Linked DNA regions of Cricetulus griseus. The protein of the gene in region 2 purifies or fractionates together with the protein of the main gene of each other region. This does not show direct contact. Links are inferred from orthologs where the notes say so. Each region holds a gene or a part of one and is shown on either strand. Other genes may lie near its edges. The genes, in order: ubiquitin-conjugating enzyme E2 E1, Otub1, Ube2e3 and Slc7a11.

What was found.
Region 1: the proteins of Otub1 (region 2) and ubiquitin-conjugating enzyme E2 E1 purify together in Homo sapiens (affinity purification with mass spectrometry; 4 studies listed by BioGRID and IntAct, with this or other methods). This does not show direct contact. The link is inferred for Cricetulus griseus from reciprocal best matches to the Homo sapiens genes OTUB1 and UBE2E1.
Region 3: the proteins of Otub1 (region 2) and Ube2e3 purify together in Homo sapiens (affinity purification with mass spectrometry; 3 studies listed by BioGRID and IntAct, counting the BioPlex papers as one, with this or other methods). This does not show direct contact. The link is inferred for Cricetulus griseus from reciprocal best matches to the Homo sapiens genes OTUB1 and UBE2E3.
Region 4: the proteins of Otub1 (region 2) and Slc7a11 purify together in Homo sapiens (affinity purification with western blotting; 5 studies listed by BioGRID, with this or other methods). This does not show direct contact. The link is inferred for Cricetulus griseus from reciprocal best matches to the Homo sapiens genes OTUB1 and SLC7A11.

The regions. Positions count from the first base shown.
Region 1 is NW_023276807.1:175,441,243-175,446,382, reverse strand, and holds the start of ubiquitin-conjugating enzyme E2 E1, read left to right. Parts: upstream 1-2,009; 5' UTR 2,010-2,168; intron 2,169-2,322; exon of another isoform or gene 2,323-2,709; coding exon of another isoform or gene 2,710-2,712; intron 2,713-2,746; 5' UTR 2,747-2,779; coding exon 2,780-2,931; intron 2,932-5,140. UniProt on the Homo sapiens protein: Accepts ubiquitin from the E1 complex and catalyzes its covalent attachment to other proteins. Catalyzes the covalent attachment of ISG15 to other proteins. Mediates the selective degradation of short-lived and abnormal proteins.
Region 2 is NC_048596.1:52,258,824-52,262,952, reverse strand, and holds the end of Otub1 (ubiquitin thioesterase OTUB1), read right to left. Parts: intron 3,064-4,129; coding exon 2,945-3,063; intron 2,740-2,944; coding exon 2,655-2,739; intron 2,540-2,654; coding exon 2,345-2,539; intron 2,211-2,344; coding exon 2,013-2,210; 3' UTR 1,113-2,012; downstream 1-1,112. Other genes in the region: ADP-ribose glycohydrolase MACROD1, read left to right, coding at 44-117, 441-522, 820-857. UniProt on the Homo sapiens protein: Hydrolase that can specifically remove 'Lys-48'-linked conjugated ubiquitin from proteins and plays an important regulatory role at the level of protein turnover by preventing degradation.
Region 3 is NC_048599.1:96,288,055-96,293,302, forward strand, and holds the start of Ube2e3 (ubiquitin-conjugating enzyme E2 E3), read right to left. Parts: upstream 3,593-5,248; 5' UTR 3,456-3,592; intron 2,844-3,455; exon of another isoform or gene 2,823-2,843; intron 2,366-2,822; 5' UTR 2,338-2,365; coding exon 2,144-2,337; intron 411-2,143; coding exon 360-410; intron 1-359. UniProt on the Homo sapiens protein: Accepts ubiquitin from the E1 complex and catalyzes its covalent attachment to other proteins. In vitro catalyzes 'Lys-11'- and 'Lys-48'-, as well as 'Lys-63'-linked polyubiquitination.
Region 4 is NW_023276806.1:101,013,023-101,017,558, forward strand, and holds part of Slc7a11 (cystine/glutamate transporter), read left to right. Parts: intron 1-1,521; coding exon 1,522-1,621; intron 1,622-4,536. UniProt on the Homo sapiens protein: Heterodimer with SLC3A2, that functions as an antiporter by mediating the exchange of extracellular anionic L-cystine and intracellular L-glutamate across the cellular plasma membrane.

The DNA.
Region 1 (5,140 bases), on a different chromosome or scaffold from region 2:
ATTAAAGACACATGTCATCATACCCACTGTACATAGTACATCATGCACACTAAGTACATCAGTGCATTCTTGAAAATATTATCAGAGCTCTTTTTTATTTAATATATTTTCTTTAATAAAACTGAGGCCTTTCTATCATGCCAATATTGCCAGAACTGAAGGTGGTATGTGGGTGGTAAAGCTTCAGTGTTGTATTGCATGATCTTGAATAAGATCCATGGCTAGCTGGACAGTGGTGACACACGACATTAGTCTCAGCACTCGGGAGGCAGATGCAGGCGGATCTCTATGAGTTCGAGGCCAGCCTGGTCTCCAGAGTGAGTGCCAGGATAGGCTCCAAAGCTACACAGAGAAACCCTGTCTCGAAAAACCAAAAAGAAATAAAGTTTTAAAACAAATAGTAATCTTTACCTCAGAATATTCTGAATAACATAGCTATCTTCATTTATTAATTTCTAGCTTTCTATGATTTTTTGGAGATAAGGTCTCAATATATATCTATGGAGATTCTGGAACTTAGGCTGGGCTTTTTTGTTTGTTTGTTTTTTTCAGCTTTGGAGCCTGTCCTGGAACGCAGCTCTGTGGACCAGGTTAACCTCGAACTCACAGAGATCCAGACTAGGCTGGCCTTAAACTCCCAATGCAGGGTTTAAACACTTGAACCACCATGACCCGCCAATGTTATCATTTATAAACTGTACCAGCACATACAAAATCAAACACATTTCTTCAAAAATGCATATGCTTTGGGTAGTGGAGGAACAGCTCTTTTTGACAGGAGGCTCAAAATGATGACCTGTGGAAGTCTCACCAGTGATTTTACATGTGTTTGGAGACAACTCCTATTAGGTACAGATTTCCTTAGAGACTGAGTGAATAAAGTGCACAATTACTTTATGAATCTTACAGACCCAGCTGGAGTTTCAGATTAAAGGCTAGAAGGGGTTTACCCGTATAGTGAGAATGCCTGCTTGCCTGGTTACTATATATGCCTTAAGCTTTATATCATGTGTTACAGTAACTGAAGACTCGGTTGCCTTGGGAGGCAATGACAATTTGAATGAGATAATTTGAAGTGGACCATGGAAATCTGAGTGCGGTTGTCTGGGCATTACACAAGATCTTGTGTCTGTGGTACCTTGTACTTGGACTATAGGGATTTGTTTTTACCTTCAGGGCAAACGACAAACAGGCAAGAAACTAAGCCCTAATTTAATGGTGGAATGTTTTCAAAAATAAAATTTGGTACAGTGCCACGAAAGGAACAATTTAGTGACATTACTGTGTGATTATTCTAAAATTATTGTTTGAATAGCATCGTACTGGAGCGAAAGCAGGGTGCTTTCTAGAGCTTTCTTTCAATTTCTAAAACTCAGACTTTATACCTAATTTAAGAATTCCAAGTCTTGTCAAAACCGGCAGTTTAAGGTTTATTCCCAGTGATCTTACAACTCCCAAGCCCGGTTACAGATCCCAGTTACCTGTCATGAACTCCAATCGCGTACATAAAAACCCCCACATCCTTTTCTATAACAAGTGAAGGGGTTGTATCTAATGTTGTAAATTGCTCACGCCTGGTATCCTGAACAGAAACCGAGTCTGGGATTTTTCTCACAGGCGTGACCTCTGCTCCTAGCAAGTTAAATTGCCAGAGGGAGAAACAAGTGTCAGCCCAAAGGAAAATCCTGTTGGGGGATTTTTTTCTTTCTTTCTCTACACCGGCCACTTTTGAGGAGGAGTCAAAGTCCTCGCCCGGAGAGTACCATCTTTCCCCCCCGACACCGGCCCCCTCACCCCCAGCCCTTTCCTAAAGCCCTCCTGGGAAGAACTTCCCCCGATCACCCCAGGCTCCACCTGAACGCAGTCGTCTCCCCCATCCCGCCGGGCTCCCTCGGCTCCGCCGGGCTCCGGGTCCCCAGGCCACGCCGGGGTCGCTCGGGGATCCCGGGCCGCGGCCCCCAGGTGCGGCGGGGGAGGGGCGCGGGGCGGGGCGGAGAGGAGGAGTGGCGCGGAGCGTGTGCGGCCGGGGAAGCCATTGCCTGGTTAATAGTTGCTGTTGCTGCACTTCCGCTTCTCTCCCAGCGAGAGCGAGACACGAGTGGCCAGGCCCAGCCGCAGCCGCAGCAGCAGCCGCCGCGGCGGCACGGAGCAGCCAGACACAAAGAGAGGTGCGGGGGGCCCCGGGGCGGGCGGCGAGCGGGCGGGCCGCGGGCCTGGGGCCGCGGGGCCGGGGGCGGGCGGCACCGCCGGGCCGCGGGCAGCAGGGCCGGGCCGGGGGCGCCGAGGGCCGGGCGGCGGGGATGGGGCGGCGGGCCGGGGCGATGGGGACCGCGCGAACTGTCAGCGCGGCCCGGTCCCCGCGGGGACCCGCCCGCCCGGGGCGCATTGTGCGCGCCGGCCTGCGAGCGCAGCCCCGCGTGGCCGGGCCTGGCCAGGCGCCGTGTCCCGCGGCCCACGCGGCCCACGCTCGGCTTCCTCACCCACTCTCCCTGCCCGGCTCGTCCCGACCTCGCCAAACTCGAGGGGGACGCCGGGAGGCCTCGGGGACGGCGGCGGCGGCTCCCGGCCCTACCCGGGCCGCCCCCGCGCGATCGCGGCCCCCGCGGATCTTCGGCCGGTGCGGCGGTGGGCCCCGATCCTCTGCAGGGCGGCGGGGGCGGCCCGGCCCGCGCCCTCCTGACAGCGGAGTTCCCTCTTTGCAGCGCCTGCATGGTCTGTGTTTCTGTTTTGTTTCCTACCCCTGCAGGGGCCGTTCGCGGGGTGGGGTGGGGGGTTCGCTATGTCGGATGACGATTCGAGGGCCAGCACCAGCTCCTCTTCATCTTCATCCTCCAACCAGCAGACCGAGAAAGAAGCCAGCACCCCCAAGAAGAAGGAGAGTAAAGTCAGCATGAGCAAAAACTCGAAGCTCCTCTCCACCAGCGCCAAGAGGTACCCCACTCCTTTCTCCAGGAGTCCTAGCTTCCCAGTTGCCTCGTGCTGCATGTCAGGGAGGGTGGCTTCAACGACGTTCTCATATGTTCTCTGGCAGGAAAATGGGGCATGGAGTCCCACCTGTTTTCTCTCCTGCTTACTGTTTCTGGTTTTGTTAATGCCCTTGCCCATAAGCAGCAGTTGTGGCTGGCCTCGTCTATTTCTTGATGAAGTTTCGAGAATCCTCATTACTTTTATGAGTGACTCTGAATGTGATTTCAGAGTCCTCGTCCTGGTAATCACGAATCTGTGACTTCTCAGAGGCTGTCACCCTCCTTTATAATTAAGGGTACCTTCCGGGAACTCTGTCAATGAATTCTGACCATCTCTCTTCCTCACCTGTTGCAGGGATGACGTTTTCTGAATAGAGTTTTCTCCATAACTTGCTTAAGGAATAATCAACTCCCATTAGTGCTTAAGAAACTGAGGTGATGTTTTCTGGTGGAATTTGAAGAGCCTTTTCCGGTTTGGGGCAGATGAGTCAGTAAATAACAGTAAAATGATTATTTCAGGTATTTTGGGAGATAGTTTTGTTGGCTTGTTTAAGAAGAGATAGTTTTGTTTGTTTGTTTAAGAACTTCATTTTGATAGTTTTCAAGGAGGCCTTGTTGTTTTATTAGACAGTGTCTTATGCTCTAGCCCAGGCTGGCCTTCAGGAGTGAGCCACTCACTACACCGAGGGTTAGTCTCTTATGTAAAAAGACGGGTGAATACTTTGTCTCTGTCAACCTTTAATGACATTCCCTGATCCCTGTAGTCTAGCAGAGACCTGGGAAGCCCCTGACATCCTTTCAAAAATCCTTCTCTTTTCATTGAGATAGTTAACCATAGCAAGGAATGGAAATTGGACTAGAATTTAAAATGAAATGGGACATTTAAGTGACTTTGGCTCTCTCTGCTGAGTAGTGAGCCTGGAACTCAGATTGACAGTTTGTTCTGTCATTTTCCCTGACCTGAAATTCTTGGTATACTGTTTTAGTGACCTAACTGGCCTGATGGTAGTGACTTCAGCCCATTCTCCATAGTTAATGATCAGGTCTTGAGAGGGTGTCGAGCTGCCTTGGTAAGGTTGTTCTCATTTTCAAAGGGTTGGTGTGATAGTATCTCAGGCCCTCCTGAGTCTTAACCTGCCCTCTTTGATTAAGCCCATGTGAACTGTCTCTGAGCCTGGGTTCTCCCCTCCTTGCTGAAGATGGCGCTTCTCTCTCCCAGTGTTCTTAATCTCTCCATCCTCACTCTGCTTTGGACCCACCCCCTTAGGTCAGTGCAGCTTTTGTGTTGTGCTAGAAGGCCCTCAGTGTGTTTGTAACTATAGTGGGAGGAAAATGGACAGGTATAAAAAAGTAGAGTATAAACAATTGGATTTCTCTGCGGATATAGTTTGTCTGTTTATGCTATGGAAGTTAAAAACTTAGTTCTGGGCATGGTGGTACAGGCCTTTTATCAGCTCAGTCCTTGGAAATAGAAGCAGGCAGATAGATCTCTTGTGAGTTCAGAGTCAGCCTGTTCTACAAAGAGAGGTCCAGGAGGTCTGAATATAGATAGGGAGACTGTCTCCAAAACAAAATCAACTTTATTTGGTACCTCAAATAGTAGCGAACTGGCCTAGCATGCTTGAAGCCCTGGGTTCAGTCCCCAGACCTGTAATCCCAAGGCTCTGCCAGGCAGGAGGATCAGTTCACAGTCCTTGGCTACAGTGCATTCTTGAGTTGGAGACAGGCTCTCCTGTAGTCAGGGCCTCGTGTAGTCCAGGCTCAGTGATCTGAATAACAATGGATGTTCCCTTTCCAGGGTTTTTGGTGAGCAGGAAGATACCAGCTATAATGTACCAAGCATTGCCATTTTTAGCTGGCACTTCTTCCCCAGTAAAAGGGAAAATAAATTGAGTGGTGACTGGGGAAGTTCCTACCCTCAGAAAACCTTCGGAAATAGAGAAACATCCATTGTCATTCAGATTGCCAGCCTGAGACCTTATTTGGAAACAGCTAGTAAAGAAATGTTGGAAGTAGGAAGAGGAGCTGGAAAAGAGTAAATAATAATTTTGCCTGTAAACTAACATGTTTTATGTATCTTTTAATGCAGCACATTTAGATTCCTAGGTACCTTGTTGAAACAATAACTGTGTGTTAAAGCAGAGTTAAGGTTAAAAGGTAAAAGTAGAAAGGGT
Region 2 (4,129 bases):
GCGGGGCGGGGCCAGATTTGAACTCAACAGACCATGCCCTCAGGATACCCTAATGAGGAGGCAGCTGAGGTAGTGCTGGCGGCGCTGCGGGGGTGGCTGGAGCAGCACAAGGACAAGGTGAGACTGGAGAGAATGGTTGGCAGCGAGGCGGGAGCAGGGGCACCTAGTTCTGGGTAGGTGCGGCCAGTCGGTACCTGCCCTCCCCAGGCCCACTCCCCCCCCGTGGGCTTATTTGTTGTGGGACAGCCGATGGGAAGGGGCTGAGCGTGCAGCCTGAACCCCTTCTATGATGGGTACTGTTGATTCTCAAATCTCCACGGACAGTACACCCATAGTAGGCAGTTGAGACCCTGCCACTGTGGGTGGGTTTGGGGAGCACGAAGTACTGGGACTGATGGCCCGGTGGAGGCCCCACCCGGGCTCAGCAATCCCTGGCGCAGGTGGATCGGCTTATCATCTGTGTGTTCCTGGAGAAGGACGAGGACATTTACCGAGAGCGCCTGCCCCATTACTTCCCAGTAGGTATGTGCCCTCCTTTTCCTCCGGGGCCCCCCAGGCTAGCCTACCCCTCCCCCATGGCCCTGGGCGGCTCTCACTGTCCTCTGCCTTCCAGCCTGAGGCTCCTGAAGCCCACCCTGAATGGGACTGGTAAGCAGGGCCTGGCCCAGTGTGGTGTGGCCACCCTACACTAACCTGGCCCTCTAACACCTGCTCAATCTGCTGTTGCCCACCTCCATGCAGTGGGGTGGTGAAGCTGGGGAGGGGCCCAGGGGCCTTCAGAAGTCCTAAACTCCTTTGATCTATCTGCTCTACCATCAGACCCACCTGGGCCTGTGGGACCTCGCTCCCAACTCTGAGAGAAGCCGAACAGCTTGTTCCAGCCTGGCCACCCCGAGTTCTGTCCTGTCCCTCAGTATGTCCTGCCCTGCCTTTCAGAAGCCTCTTAATAAAGATGTCTGATTCAGCCTCACTTGTCTGAGTGCTGGGGTCTGGGTCTGGCTGGGGCCCAGGGGTAAGGTGTCTTGGGGCTGTTTTTGCTTCAAGTGGCTCCAAGAGCCCTGGGTGAGCCAGGCGGGTGAGTGAGCCATTGGCCAGAGAGCAGAGGCGGTGGCGGCTGCAGCACTTCACATTTATTGAGGGCCTGCCCCCAAGGAGCTCACAGCCTGGGCTGAGATCCCACATGTGCTGGGGGTGGGGAGGAGAAGGCAAAGAGGCAGGTAATGCAGATATGGCCCAAGCAAAGGGGTGCAGAGCAAGCACAGGCAGGGAGCTCTGGGGAACCAGTAACAGGCAAGCCCTGCCTAGATAGGAATGAGGCCTTCTGCTCCTCCCACACCAAGTCAGTTCTTCCTGGGGCCCAGAGGATGAGCAGCTCCCCCATCTACCTGGGCCAGCCTCCTCCCATAACCTTCTCGTCTCAGGACTCCTCAATCATGCAGACCCCTGGAGGTGGGCAGAAAGCTGTGATCTGGAAGCTCTGGCCAGAATAGCAAATCTGTTACTCTAAGGAGCAGCTTTGAGTGTGGGTGACCTGAGACCTCCAGCCAAGTGCCCAAGGAACTTCAAAAGTTCCCATGGAAACCCCTGGAAAGTCAAGGAGGAAAGGGGGCAGGCCTTATGGGTAGATAGAAAGCAGAACTCTAAGGAGCATGGAGGCCTAGCCCCCTCAAATTTCTCTTGGCAGAGACACTTGGGGTGGATAGGAAGAAAGCTGAGGGACCCACCCTGGGGGAAGGGACAGCCAGACATACAGCAGCCAGTAGACATGTAGGGAAGAGCAGCAGAGCAGGGAAACGCACACTCAGGCTCACCACCAGCATCCCCTTTAATAAAACATGGAAGGTTGTGTGACAGGGAAAAGGGAGGAGTGAAATATGACCATTTACAACCACAAAAAACAAAACAAAACAAAAAAACAAACAAAAAAAAAACCAAAACAAAACAAAAAACCCTCTGTACATGTCTAGTGCCTGGCAGGGGGAGGGAGGCAGGACGCAGCAGGCCAGCCGGCCCTATTTGTAGAGGATATCGTAGTGTCCAGGCCGGTAGAGAAGGTAGACCTTGGGCTCGGAGCCCTCAGGGAAGACATGTGGGTTGGTGGTGCCGCCCTCACCACGGTCCATGTACTCTACTTGGATGGACACGCTGAGGGCTTGCGCCAGGGCGATGATGTGGATATGGTCGCTCTCCTTGCACATGGGTTCCACCTCCTGTGGTACAGGGGCAGGTCAGGCCTGTCCCAAAACCCTCCCCCTCCCCAGGTCCCAACCTCACCCAGCATGTCCCACCCTTAAACAAAAGAGAAAAAGAGGGTCCCAGGGCAGAGTTGAAGAGGAGGTGGCACCTGCTGGCAGAACTCCTTAACAGTCCGGCCACCCTCTATGAAGTGCTCGAAGAACTTGCTCTCTCGCTGCAGGTAGCCTGAGGTGAGCAGCCGCAGGTAGACCACAAGGTAGTCTGAGGTGCTCTGGTCATTGAAGGAGGCCAGCAGCTCAGCTACGGAGGTCTGCTTCTCCACCTGCTCGATAAGGTCCATGAACTGCCCCACCCGGGGACCAGAGATAAGAGGAGGAAAATGAGTAAGGAGAGGCCACCCTACCACAGCCTACAGAGCCACCCCACTGTTGGGGTGAGCCTGAAATAGCTAGGCTCACCGTGTTGTGGAAGTCCTCGATTGTGAACTCAGTGAAGCCCTGGGACACCAGGTCCTCTTTACTCTTGGCAGACACAGCCTTGAACCTGTGGGTGGGAAGGGATGGGAGGGCCAGCATGGGCTTCTCAGCCAGCAGAGCAAGGGCTTAGCCAGCCCAGGCCTGCCTAGACAAGACCACCCACCACCAAGTTCAAAAAGAAGTCCCAAACAACCAACCCAAATGATGGCTGGCCTAAGGCCCAGATCTCCTATCCATCAGGAGGGGCCTGGAGCCCCCAGTGCTCTCCTCACCGCTGCAGCTCCTTGCTGTCATCCAGCAGCGCCTCCAAGTGGGAGAAGCCGAATGCTCGATAGAAGCAGTTGCCATCAGGCCTGGTCTTGCGGATGTATGAGTACTTTTTGTGAAGGTCCTGTAGAAGAGCAGCCCAGTTTAACATCCAGCCAGGCCAGGGCCAGCCCAAGAAATGGCCATAGCAGCAGGCGGCAACTCAACTCCAGGTTCCCACCTCCAGGCTGCTGAATGAGGGCACCAAGTCACCCACTGGAACAGAGCCCTCCCCTGGAGGTTCCCAGAAGCTGTGCACTTATGTGTCAACAGGTTGTGTGGTCACCAGCTGCTTGCCATGTGGGTGCTACTGGCCACAGAGCCATTTGCTTATAAAAACAGATGACCAAATCTGTCCTTGACTAACTCAACTTTCCAGGTCTTTCAATACAAGCAAGGCAAAGCAGGGGAAAAGAACAGGCCATACTACCAGCTGCCTGGATGCCTGAGGTTCCTTAGCCTAGCATGGCTCCAGCCACAGAGAGCAGCTCTCTCTATAATCTGAGGCTAAACCAGCTCCCCCATCCACTTTTACCTCCCAACCACGCTGCATTAGTCAAGGACAGGGACCATCTCCTTCAGCTGTTTCCACTTTCTCCAAACGAAGCCCATCCCCATGAAAGCAACCCCTAGTGAAGCTTGGTAAACAGGTCTCACTCACCTGGACACCCCTACCCCTGCTCTCTTCAGCCTGATCCTTCCTCCTTTACTTATCTCTCTCAGGCTACCCCTCATCTTTCTCCATTCTAAAAGGCGAGGCTCCCACCAAATCACACTGTATCCTTCCTCAAGACACCTGCCAGATGACAACCCTCAGGCAACCCTCAGTAATGAGAGTCCCTTCACACTCAGAACTTGGCCCTGACATCTGCTACTTAGCTACCCCAATACTCACCACTAGCTCATGTCTTCCTTCAGATTCAAGGACATGAATCTAGTTTATAGATTATACTTTACAGACCCCACAGGTATGTAAGATCCAGGTGGGTCTTCCAATAAAAACAGAAACTCCTATGGAAGGCTTTTGTCCGACCAAGGTCAAAAACAACCTAGAGCTACTATAGCAGAGTCAATTCAGCCCTCCCTGGCCCAGCCTCTGGAGAGTGACAACACAACATCCCATCTTTTCCTTTACCAGCTCTCTCCCAGGC
Region 3 (5,248 bases), on a different chromosome or scaffold from region 2:
CGCATTTAGCAATTTCTAAATTTGGAGGTCAGTTCAGATTACACACAAACAGTTCTTTAAAGCTGAAAATTTCAGAAATCACTGAAATATACTTGTGAACAAAAATGCTCTGCAGACATACAAGCAAAATCAGCACCATCCACACTAATTTCAGAAGCCAAAGTCCTGTGTTCCTAAGTTCACAATGTATACATGCTATCTTTTCTCCCATCTTTAGTTAATCCAGATAATTTTAGTTTAGTGCACAAGATAAAACAAATGAAACCAGCTTCTTAGGCTGCACATACATGCAGGCAAGATCATTACCTTCTCAATATTTTTCCACAACTTGAAATGCAAACAACAAATGTGTTTCTTACCTGCAGTTGGGAGGAGGATCAAGGGTTATTTCAGCTAGCTCCTTCTGAATTCTGTAAGTGAAATGAGAACAAACAAAAAGGATCTGAGGCAGTCTACAGAATAACCGGGGAATTACACTGCCCTCTACCACCATGCAGTTAAATGCAAGGCTGGCTTTGCCTTCAGTAATGCTAACATGGCTGCTTCCTCTTTGTTCTCAGAGGCATAACCCAAATCCCTTAGCAGAAACTTTGCGGCTCTTTTTCTCACGTGCTATTGTAAATAAGTGTGTCATTTACACCTGATTTGAGAAATAGTCCTTTCTGACTACTAAGTGAAGGATATATAATCTGCTAAAAACCACTCTTTACCAAAGAAATTCTCTTTTCAAGCTTATATGCAAATGAGACAAAAAGGGAGGAGGGAAAACACCAGAGATTTTGACAATGATTTCAAGTCACTTTTTACTGAGCTAAAAATGAATAGGCTGCTACTAGAGCACATTAATAGTTTTTGGCGATATTTTATCTGTCAGAAAAGTTTAAAAATTATAAACATGTTTGCCAATGAAAAATTTCAAACTGGCACTCACATTGACTGTAACTGTTTGCCTCTGATTTTTAGATATACCTTTAAAGTTCTATAAATTTGCAGCAGGGAAGAAGACAAATATATAAGCTCAAGTTACAGGCAAAGGCAACTCTGGTTTTCTTCAAATTTAGGATGTTTTCAAAACTTGAGACATATTTAATACGTTCCTCCACAAGATTACAATGAATCGGGCAATTTAGATTATTTCAAACACTGTTCCTCGTCAATAAAATATTCTAAAGCTGTTAGCATTTGATTGGTGGTTAAAATCCATACCAAGAGTTTGGCTCACAAGAAGAATGCAACATTCCATCAGCTTTTACATTTTTCTTCCTTCATTTATGACCAATTAAAAACAACAACAAAAAAACACCTGTGCTGGGTAATGCTGTGAGCACATTTTAACTGCTAGTTTCTCTAGGTATCCCAATATGACTATCACTCAGAGTCCCAATGGCAGGATCATATCTGTCATCCCAGAATATGAAAATCAACAGAAAACAAGGGATCTTTAACTCTGGCTTGGTTATGTTTCCCCTGCTTTTGAGTTAGCCTGTCAAACATATCTACAAGTTTTAGAGTGAAGAAGGAGGACAACCACGACACCGAATAACATCTAAAACTGTAATTGGCTACTTTTCAGTTTCATCTGCCATCACCAGGAGGGATAACAATAATTTACCCAGTCACACTTGTGCTGCAAGATTTCAAGTCTTGTCCTACACACTGTGGACCAATTTAAGGCACTCGGTAAGACCTGCTTCCCAATATAGCCAAGCCTGGTATTTAACAATTTTCTAGTAAATATTGCCATTTCTGACCATTCAGTTTTATGGAGAGAGGCACTGCTGCTCTCTAGAATTGTCAGTTTCACTCAAGCATGACTCACAAGAGGAAACCTCTCCAACGTACCATCTAATTGGGGGTTCACCAAATTTTCCTTGCTACCCTCTTCATCTGTCAGGATCACCCTCAGCTCCATTTGAGACAGCTCCTCAAGTTACCACAGTACAGAACAAAGTAGCCTTGCTTTAAAGTCAATAGCTGTAGGAAGGCTGCTTATATACCACATACAGAATGACAGCTCATCCAAGTTCAAACACATTTGATGGAGAAGTATTTCTGAACTATTGCCACTGTTGTTAAACCAACAAAACCACCCTATGGGACAGAAGGCAACCTGACAATGTGAGTCCTGCCTTGGAGACATTACCTTTTAGCACTAGTGGATAACTTAGCAGTCGTTTTGCTAGAAAGTTTGGTGTTTTTCTTCTGCTGGGTGGCAGAAGGTTTTCTCTCTTCCTGTTCCTCTGGCTCTGGAGCTGCAGGGTCTCGCTGGTCAGCATCTGAACTGCCACTGCTGGTGCTGGGACTCTCATCATCCGACCTTTGCCTATCACTGGACATCTTGGTGAAGTTATCTCTGGGAAAACTTCTAAGGAGAGAAGGGACCGTCAAGAAATGTTAAATCTTAAAATAATAATAATAATAATAATAATAATAATAATAATAATAATAAACAGCAGCATGTTCTTCTCTCTATTAGTCTTTTATTGAAAAAGATTCGACTGCCCCCATACTTAAGGTATAGCAAGGTTACAGGGAGGCCGATGTGTCTTATAAGGCAGTCGCTGAGGGATTTACCAAACTCAAGTTAGAAAACCCACTCACATTTTTCCCCCATCCCTTAAGACAATCTATCAATTGTCTACTTTCTCAGAAGGCATGAAACAGATTTGCCAAGGAACTTGGGCAACGGGCATTAATAACATATGACAACTGTAAATAACAGATCTCTCGGAGAATGTTCAAAAGTCACTAATATCGTCTAAATATTTACAGGCTGACACCGGTCTGAGCTACCAAATCCTCCTTCCCAGAGGGAAACATACCCTGTTAGTCGCCCATATGCTTATTTACGGTGGCGGGTCCTCCCGTGCGCACCGAAAGCCTTTGAACACAGCACTCAAAATTAAAAAAAAAAAAAAAAAAAAAAAAAAAAAAAAATCAACTGGCAGCCGCCCCACCGCCTTCCCCACGGCCAGCGGCGAGGATTCACCCGGCCAAGCCGGAGCTGCCACCCGGGGAAGGGCAGGATCCGAACTGCACCTTCTGCAAAGCTCCCGGTGCCACCGACGTCCCCCGCTCAATTCCTCCCTCACCGACCGACATTTTGTCAAAAAAAAAAAAAAAAAATTCCGCAAAGCGGCCAAAAGCCCGAGGGCAAAACAAACAAACAAACAAAAGCCCTCCCCCACCCCCCACCCCCAGAAGTGCAACAAATTGGCGCGGCCCGCCCCGGGGCGAGCGCCGGGCCACGCAGCTCCGCGGTCCTTTGTGGGGAGGGCCGCGCAGGGGACCGCGCCACTGCGCCCGCCGCCCCGCCCGCCGGGGGATGCGGGACCCGCCGCCCGCGCCGCTGACTGACGAGCGCGGCTGACTGAGGAGCGCGGCGCCCGGCGCGAACAAAGCTGCCGCCCCCGCCCCCGCCGCCCCCCACGCGGGCCCCGGCCCCGCCGCCTTACCTCGGCCGCCGCCCCGGCCCGCTCGTGCGCCGCTACGCTGTGGGGGAGGGAGAGCGCCGAGGAGCCTTCCTTGAGGAAATGGAGGCAGCTGGGGGGGGAACGGGGGGGGCGGAAAAAAAGCCGCCGCCGAGGCTCCGGCCCGGGAGTGTGGAACATCGAAAGTCGCAGGCGGCCGTGCAGTGCCGCGCTGCGGCCGGAGGGTGGCGCCGCCCCGCGCTCCGGGAGCCACGGTGGGGTGGGCGCTCCGCCGGCCGAGGCAGGGACGCGGGAGCCCCCCGCGCGCTCAGCCTCCCGCCGCCCGGCTAGGCTCGGCTCGGCTCGGCTCCTCCCGGCCGCGCAGTCAGCAAGTTCCGAAGAGAGAGAGCGAGCGAGCGGAGGGAGGGGGGAGGGGCGGGCGCGGCGGCCGCGCGTGCTCGCCGCTCGCCTGGCGGACGGGGAGCGAGCTGCTCCTGCGCGCCCCCGCGCGCGCGTCCCCGCCGCGCCTCCTTTCCACCGACGGGGGTAGGGTTGGATGAGGAGGGGGGGTAAGATGCGCACGAGTCCGCCCGCGCGCGGCCGGGACAAAGAGCGCGACGGGGACCGGCGGGCTGGCCCCTGCGCCCTTGGCCGCCGAGCTTGTACTGGAAGAGAGGGAGGAGGCGGGGGCGCGGTCTCGCGGGGCCGCGGGTGGCTTCCGGCCTGGGCCCGCCTCCGGGGCAACGCTGCCCATTGGACAACCCGCCCCTGAGGCTAGTGGCCCCGGGGTTGCCAGGGGATCCCGTACCTGAGCAACCGCCCGGGCGCGTGGCTGAGGCTTCCCAGATGCCCCGAGAGGCACGAAATGAATGGTGTGATTGAGGAGGCCAAGCACTGGGGCAAAGGGAAGCCGCTGCTGGCCCCTCTGTGAGCTAAAGGAAGTGGCAAGGTGAAGAAGTCCAGGTCTCTGAGGGAGGTGGAGGGGATTTTGCGACCAGGGGACCAACCTGAGCTAATCTCTGGCACCCATCCTGCAGTGTCGATGCCAAAGGGGACTGCCCTCTGGACATTTTGAAAACTTAGAAATCCCAAACTATTTTTGAAATGTCCCGCTCAAGATGTAGTGAGTGAGGCGATTGGGGGGGGAGGGGGGTCTATAACCTGACATTTCTGGCAGCAGGCTCTGCCTTGCATGAGAAACACCAGTTCTGGATAGAGAAGCCCTGGGTGGATCTATGGCAGTGGCCTCATAAAAACTTTTAGGGAGGAATCATGAAGGTTGCGCTACTCTTGTGTTTCTTTTTGCAGAATCTTAAGTGGAGACCAGTTTTGCCCCAAGCACAAAGTAGACAGAAGTACAAAAACTTCCTGTTTGCAGCTCCTGAGAACGTGTTCCAGTGATGGAACCTCAAAGGAATTTGTGCATTCCTCTCCCACAAGTGTCCAGGGCAAAAGTGCTGGGAGAATGAGTTCACAGAAGAAGCAAGAATGGCAGAGCTCTGTGAGATGAGCCAGTGTTCAAGAGAAAGAAAAATAACTAAGTGAGCCAACACACTAGTTTTCCTCCATATAAAAAAGTTTGGGTAAAAGAGCTACTCAGAACTATAAGCCACACGTGTAACTTTCCCAAGACACACACTGGGCAAGCTTACACAGAGACTATAACCTGTCCCAGTTGGTATGTCCAAAGCCTAGTCTCCTTACTTCCTGCCAGGAGTTCCAGGTCTGTCAGAGGACTCCATTACTGAAGTTCACCTGGATGAGAGGAAGGGAACGGTTTCCCAGTTAGGACAAAGTCCAGTCTCCAGAGGGACTGTGATCTGTGTGTGCATCCACAC
Region 4 (4,536 bases), on a different chromosome or scaffold from region 2:
ACTCGATAGGTGTTTTTTTTCTTTTAAACAATATTTTATTTTTAGATGTGTGTTTGTGTGTGTACATGTTTGTGTGTGTGTGTGTGTGTGTGTGTGTGTGTGTGTGTGTGTGTGTGTGTGTATGTGTGTGCGCGCACACACATTTGTATGCCTGCAAATGATGATGTGCACATAAGCACAGGTGCTTACAAAGGCAAGAAGAGGGCATCAGATACCCTGAAGCTGGAGCAACACATGGTTTGTATGGATGCTGGGAGCTGAACTCAGATCCTCTGTTTTTAGGTGCAGAGCATCCTCTCAAGTCCCAACAGATCTCAGTGTGCATAATTTCCTTCTATTAAGGCATAGAAATGTTTCAGGAAAATGGGCATTTTTGATTCACCTTGTCAAGTTTTCATAAAACTATATTTAGAAGTTGATTGCTTTGAGAAAAAAATATTGTTCTTTATGTAACACAACCATGTCCATCTTGGCTCCCATCCTCATATTCTATCACTATGAATACTTGGTCTCATGATGTGGGCAATAGCTGATATTTGACTTAAAAGAGAGTGTTGTATATACATCCTCTTCCTTTTCTCTTCTTGGCCCCCTTTTATTGAACTAAAGGTCAGTTTTAAAACATGTTCCTTTCCTATTTGAGTAATCTCATTTGCTGTTTTCCTTGGGGGTGGTGGATGACACAGATAATTTTTTGGTTAGTTTTGAATCTGTGCTTACTAACACAAATCTGGTTTTGTAATCTACCCAAAAGATTCAAAGGAAAAGATACCCGCTCTCCACAACATAGAGGGGGAGGGGGTGTGATGGACAAAAGTGTTCAGTCTGCATGTTGATGCCAACGTTGGTAAAACTTGGTTTGAGGTTTGGTACAATTTCTTATTCATATTTTTAGAAGAAAATGGTGGGATGGGCCAATACAGTGTCAATAAGTTACCTCTACAAAGAGTGGGCATGGGAACCTTGATATGAACCTTTATATGAACAAGCCTTTTGGGTTTTGACAGTGAGTTTTGTCTGCAGCCTTCCCTGCTTTAGGAGGCAGGTGTCCAATGTACTCCAGGGATAAACAGCAGGGTGTTAAGTGATGTGATGTGGGAGGCAGGACAAGCATTTCTTGATGCCTCCTCAGTCAAGGCAGACTCTGAGATTTCTTTTCATCCCTACTATGCCATTCATTATCTTCTAAGAATTTTGACAAACTTAAAACTTCAATTAATAGGAGAAGCTTTAGTCTACTATCCTGGTTAAAATAGAGGACACTCAAACAATGGAAATGATATCACCTATTTTAAGTGCCACTTTCATCCTGCTCGTCATCTACAAAAGAACTTTAAAATGGTCTAGGTGACAACAAGTGTGCATTTGAGACTCCTGCCCTAGCGTGGTTGCAGTATCAATAGAGTTGGCTGTGAACAGAGAGTCAGAACAGGGCAGCTCACCTCCCAACCATGTCAGGGTTGGAACAAATAATAGAAAATTCTTTGCAAAGCTCTAAAAATCCTTGCATCCTAATTGCAGGTCATACACAGCACTTTGAAGATGCATTTTCAGGAAGAGATGCAAATCTAATGGGGTTGCCCTTGGCTTTTTATTATGGGATGTATGCATATGCTGGTTGGTAAGTGGATATCTCCAGATACTTCATTAAATTGCTTCATTTGCCTTTTCTCTTGTTAATCTGTCTTTTATCATAGGAGTGTCAGCTTTGACCCCAGTAACGGATGAGGAAGCACATCACACATTTCTTCCCCAACTAGATTTTCATTATGTCAGGTACACAGTGATTATTTAGTCAAAGTTTCAAATAACATGGAATTCTCAGAAATGAAGACCTATAAAGCCAGGAAAAGTAATTTTCATGGCCAAAAGATATAGTGCAATGGTAATAGACTGGAGGGAAACTAAGTGACGTGTTGGTTCAGATTCTTCTTGACTTTTTTGTGTAACATTTCTTCCCCCTGGGAGAGAATAGAACCTCTCTCAACCAAGGCTCTTACGATGTATTATGAGACAAAGTGGAGCATAGAACAGTGCAGCTGCTTTCCACAGAAAGGCAGGAGGAAGTGTGAGACATATTTCTAGGTTTTACAGTTGCCTTTGTGGGAGATAGGTTCTAGTTTATGGGAACACTTAGGTAAGACTGATTATCTTCTGCAGCTTACCCTGGGAGAAAGAGAAGCATGAAGGGAAGGTGGGAGGATACTTGAAACTGATCCTTCTTCAGAGGTCCTTCCAGTTTCCTGCAGTGTGGCAAAGCTTCAAACTTATACAGTTAGGAGTCCCTGATGAGTCAGGGTTGTTATTAGATTCAGCTCAGTGGCATAAAAATAAACAAACAAACAGATGCTGGTTTTCAACAGTCAGTATACATTACTTCTAATTATTCATCAGTTAGGATGAAATAGTGCCATGGGATACTTGGATTAGTACCCTCCCTGTCAAAAGGCCTTTGTGCTAGAGTACCATGGATATTTATAAATAGTGGTTAATGACTTTTTGTCTACCCTGTTATGAGGAAGAAACAATTCAGATGTAGAAATGAGATGGTCTCAGGAGATCAAAATGGTTCGTATGATAAAGACAGGATAGGAGAAATCAAAGTAATAAAAATCAAATAGTATACAGCATATTCACGGGCCTTTACATATTTCATCTAAATGCTTCCAGTAGCTGAAAGCACAAACAGGCAGCAAATGTGATTGGCACCACGATGCCATGGATGCGTTTATTTCCTTCATGCTTGTCTGCCTGTGATTCCTCCCTGCCCTGGCGCAGCACTGTTTTGTTGAGGAGCATGAGTCACAGTAATCAAATATTAGAGAGGAACTTCCTGTAACTAAATTGTATTGACCTTCTAAGTTGAAATGACTATTTCAAGAGAGCCCACTAGGTGAAACGATATTGTTGAAACACTAAAATCATTGCAGGACGATTAATTTTCATTGTTTTGGAGTAAATAATGGTAATAGTTCTTTTTCCATATTTATAAAACCAATAGTTAAAGCTGTGACAATACTCCTAAAAATACTATCTAGAAACTTCAGTATCTCAACAATTATGTGAATGTGAATATGTATATAACATGAATACAATTTTTCTCTTCTTTATTCCTTCTTTTTTGTTTATGTTTTTGGATCTTATCTTTTAGGGAATATACAAATGCATTCCAAAATCAATAGAATATGTACCCTATTAATCTCACAAATTGTGAAAATACGGCATTAGAAGAGAATCAGCAGAGTGTAGCTACATGGGTTTAGCATAGCTTTGAAGCAAAATGTGTTTGAAGGCTGTTGGGTTATAGCATAAGAAGATCAGTGTAAAATATTTGTATACCCGAAGAAGATTTTCTTGCAGCCATTGTGTGCACGCTTTAGTTTTGAATCTCAATGGTTTTGAAGTCTTTTCACTTTTGTTCAAAGCACAATGTGGTGCTAAGCAGAGAAAAGAACTGAGTGTGATCACAGTGTTAGGAGCAGAATCAACTCCTCTATGTCTTTTGAGCCTGAATCAGGGCGCCATGCCCTGGGGCAGCAGCCAAGCCACAGTGAGGGTCCCTGGGAGCCCCAGAGCAAAGCAGGGGAGGGAACAAGAGCTTTCAGCTCCAGCTGGGTGCTGGGAGCCTGTTGTACTCTGTCAAGAATGTGGAATGTGGTGATCTTCACAAGGCAGATTTGATTAATTCTGTTGAATGGAGTTTCTTTTGCCTGGGAGCACCATGCATCTGTTCCCACGGAATATTAAAGCATTTCTACCCTCTCTCCACCACCACCCGGCACTGAATATTCAGGTCACCTGCTTCATGTACAGCCAATTTTCTCCACTTCTGAGGGTTTTGAGGAGTGCTGGAATTTTTTGTGGAAAAAGACTCTCTTCATCTTGACTTATCTTATTAATATTGTATTTTACTGATGCTGAGTCCGAAGTGCCACTGTTTTCACCTCTAATGGAGGTTTACCGAAAACTTGATATATACTCCCCGCCCTCTGCCCCCCCCCCCCAGTAATCCTTGTGTCTTAACCCTAGCTTGAAGAGCCAGGAACCATAATTTCATTTTTGTGTGTGTGTGTGTGTGTGTGTGTGTGTGTATGTGTGTTTGAGGGTTCAGTCACACTATTGGAAAGTAAGTCTAGGATTGTAAATGAGATGTTATCTGATCCAAGTGGCTTAGCTGGGGAATGATAGGGAACTATTTTGCTTCATGGGTTATTATGCTGGCTTAATGCTGCTTTGGAAAGAGGAGGAATGATCTGGTTATGAATCTATGGCCCTCGGTCTTAGAAAAAAAAGCACAAGTACAAGAAAGAATCTTTGGGCTCAGTACTCCATAGATGTAGATATTTCCATGTAAATGTATCAAGGTGGAGTCTGAAATGGGTCTCAAAGATGGGAGCATTGTAAGAAAAACCTTTGCTATCTGAATCCTCCATCTTTTACCTTGTGAGTGCAAAACTGGCTTGCACACTTGTAAATTGGGACTGTAAATGGCTACCATTCCCTGCATTGCTGTAGAATAATGTTTATTTAAGTGGG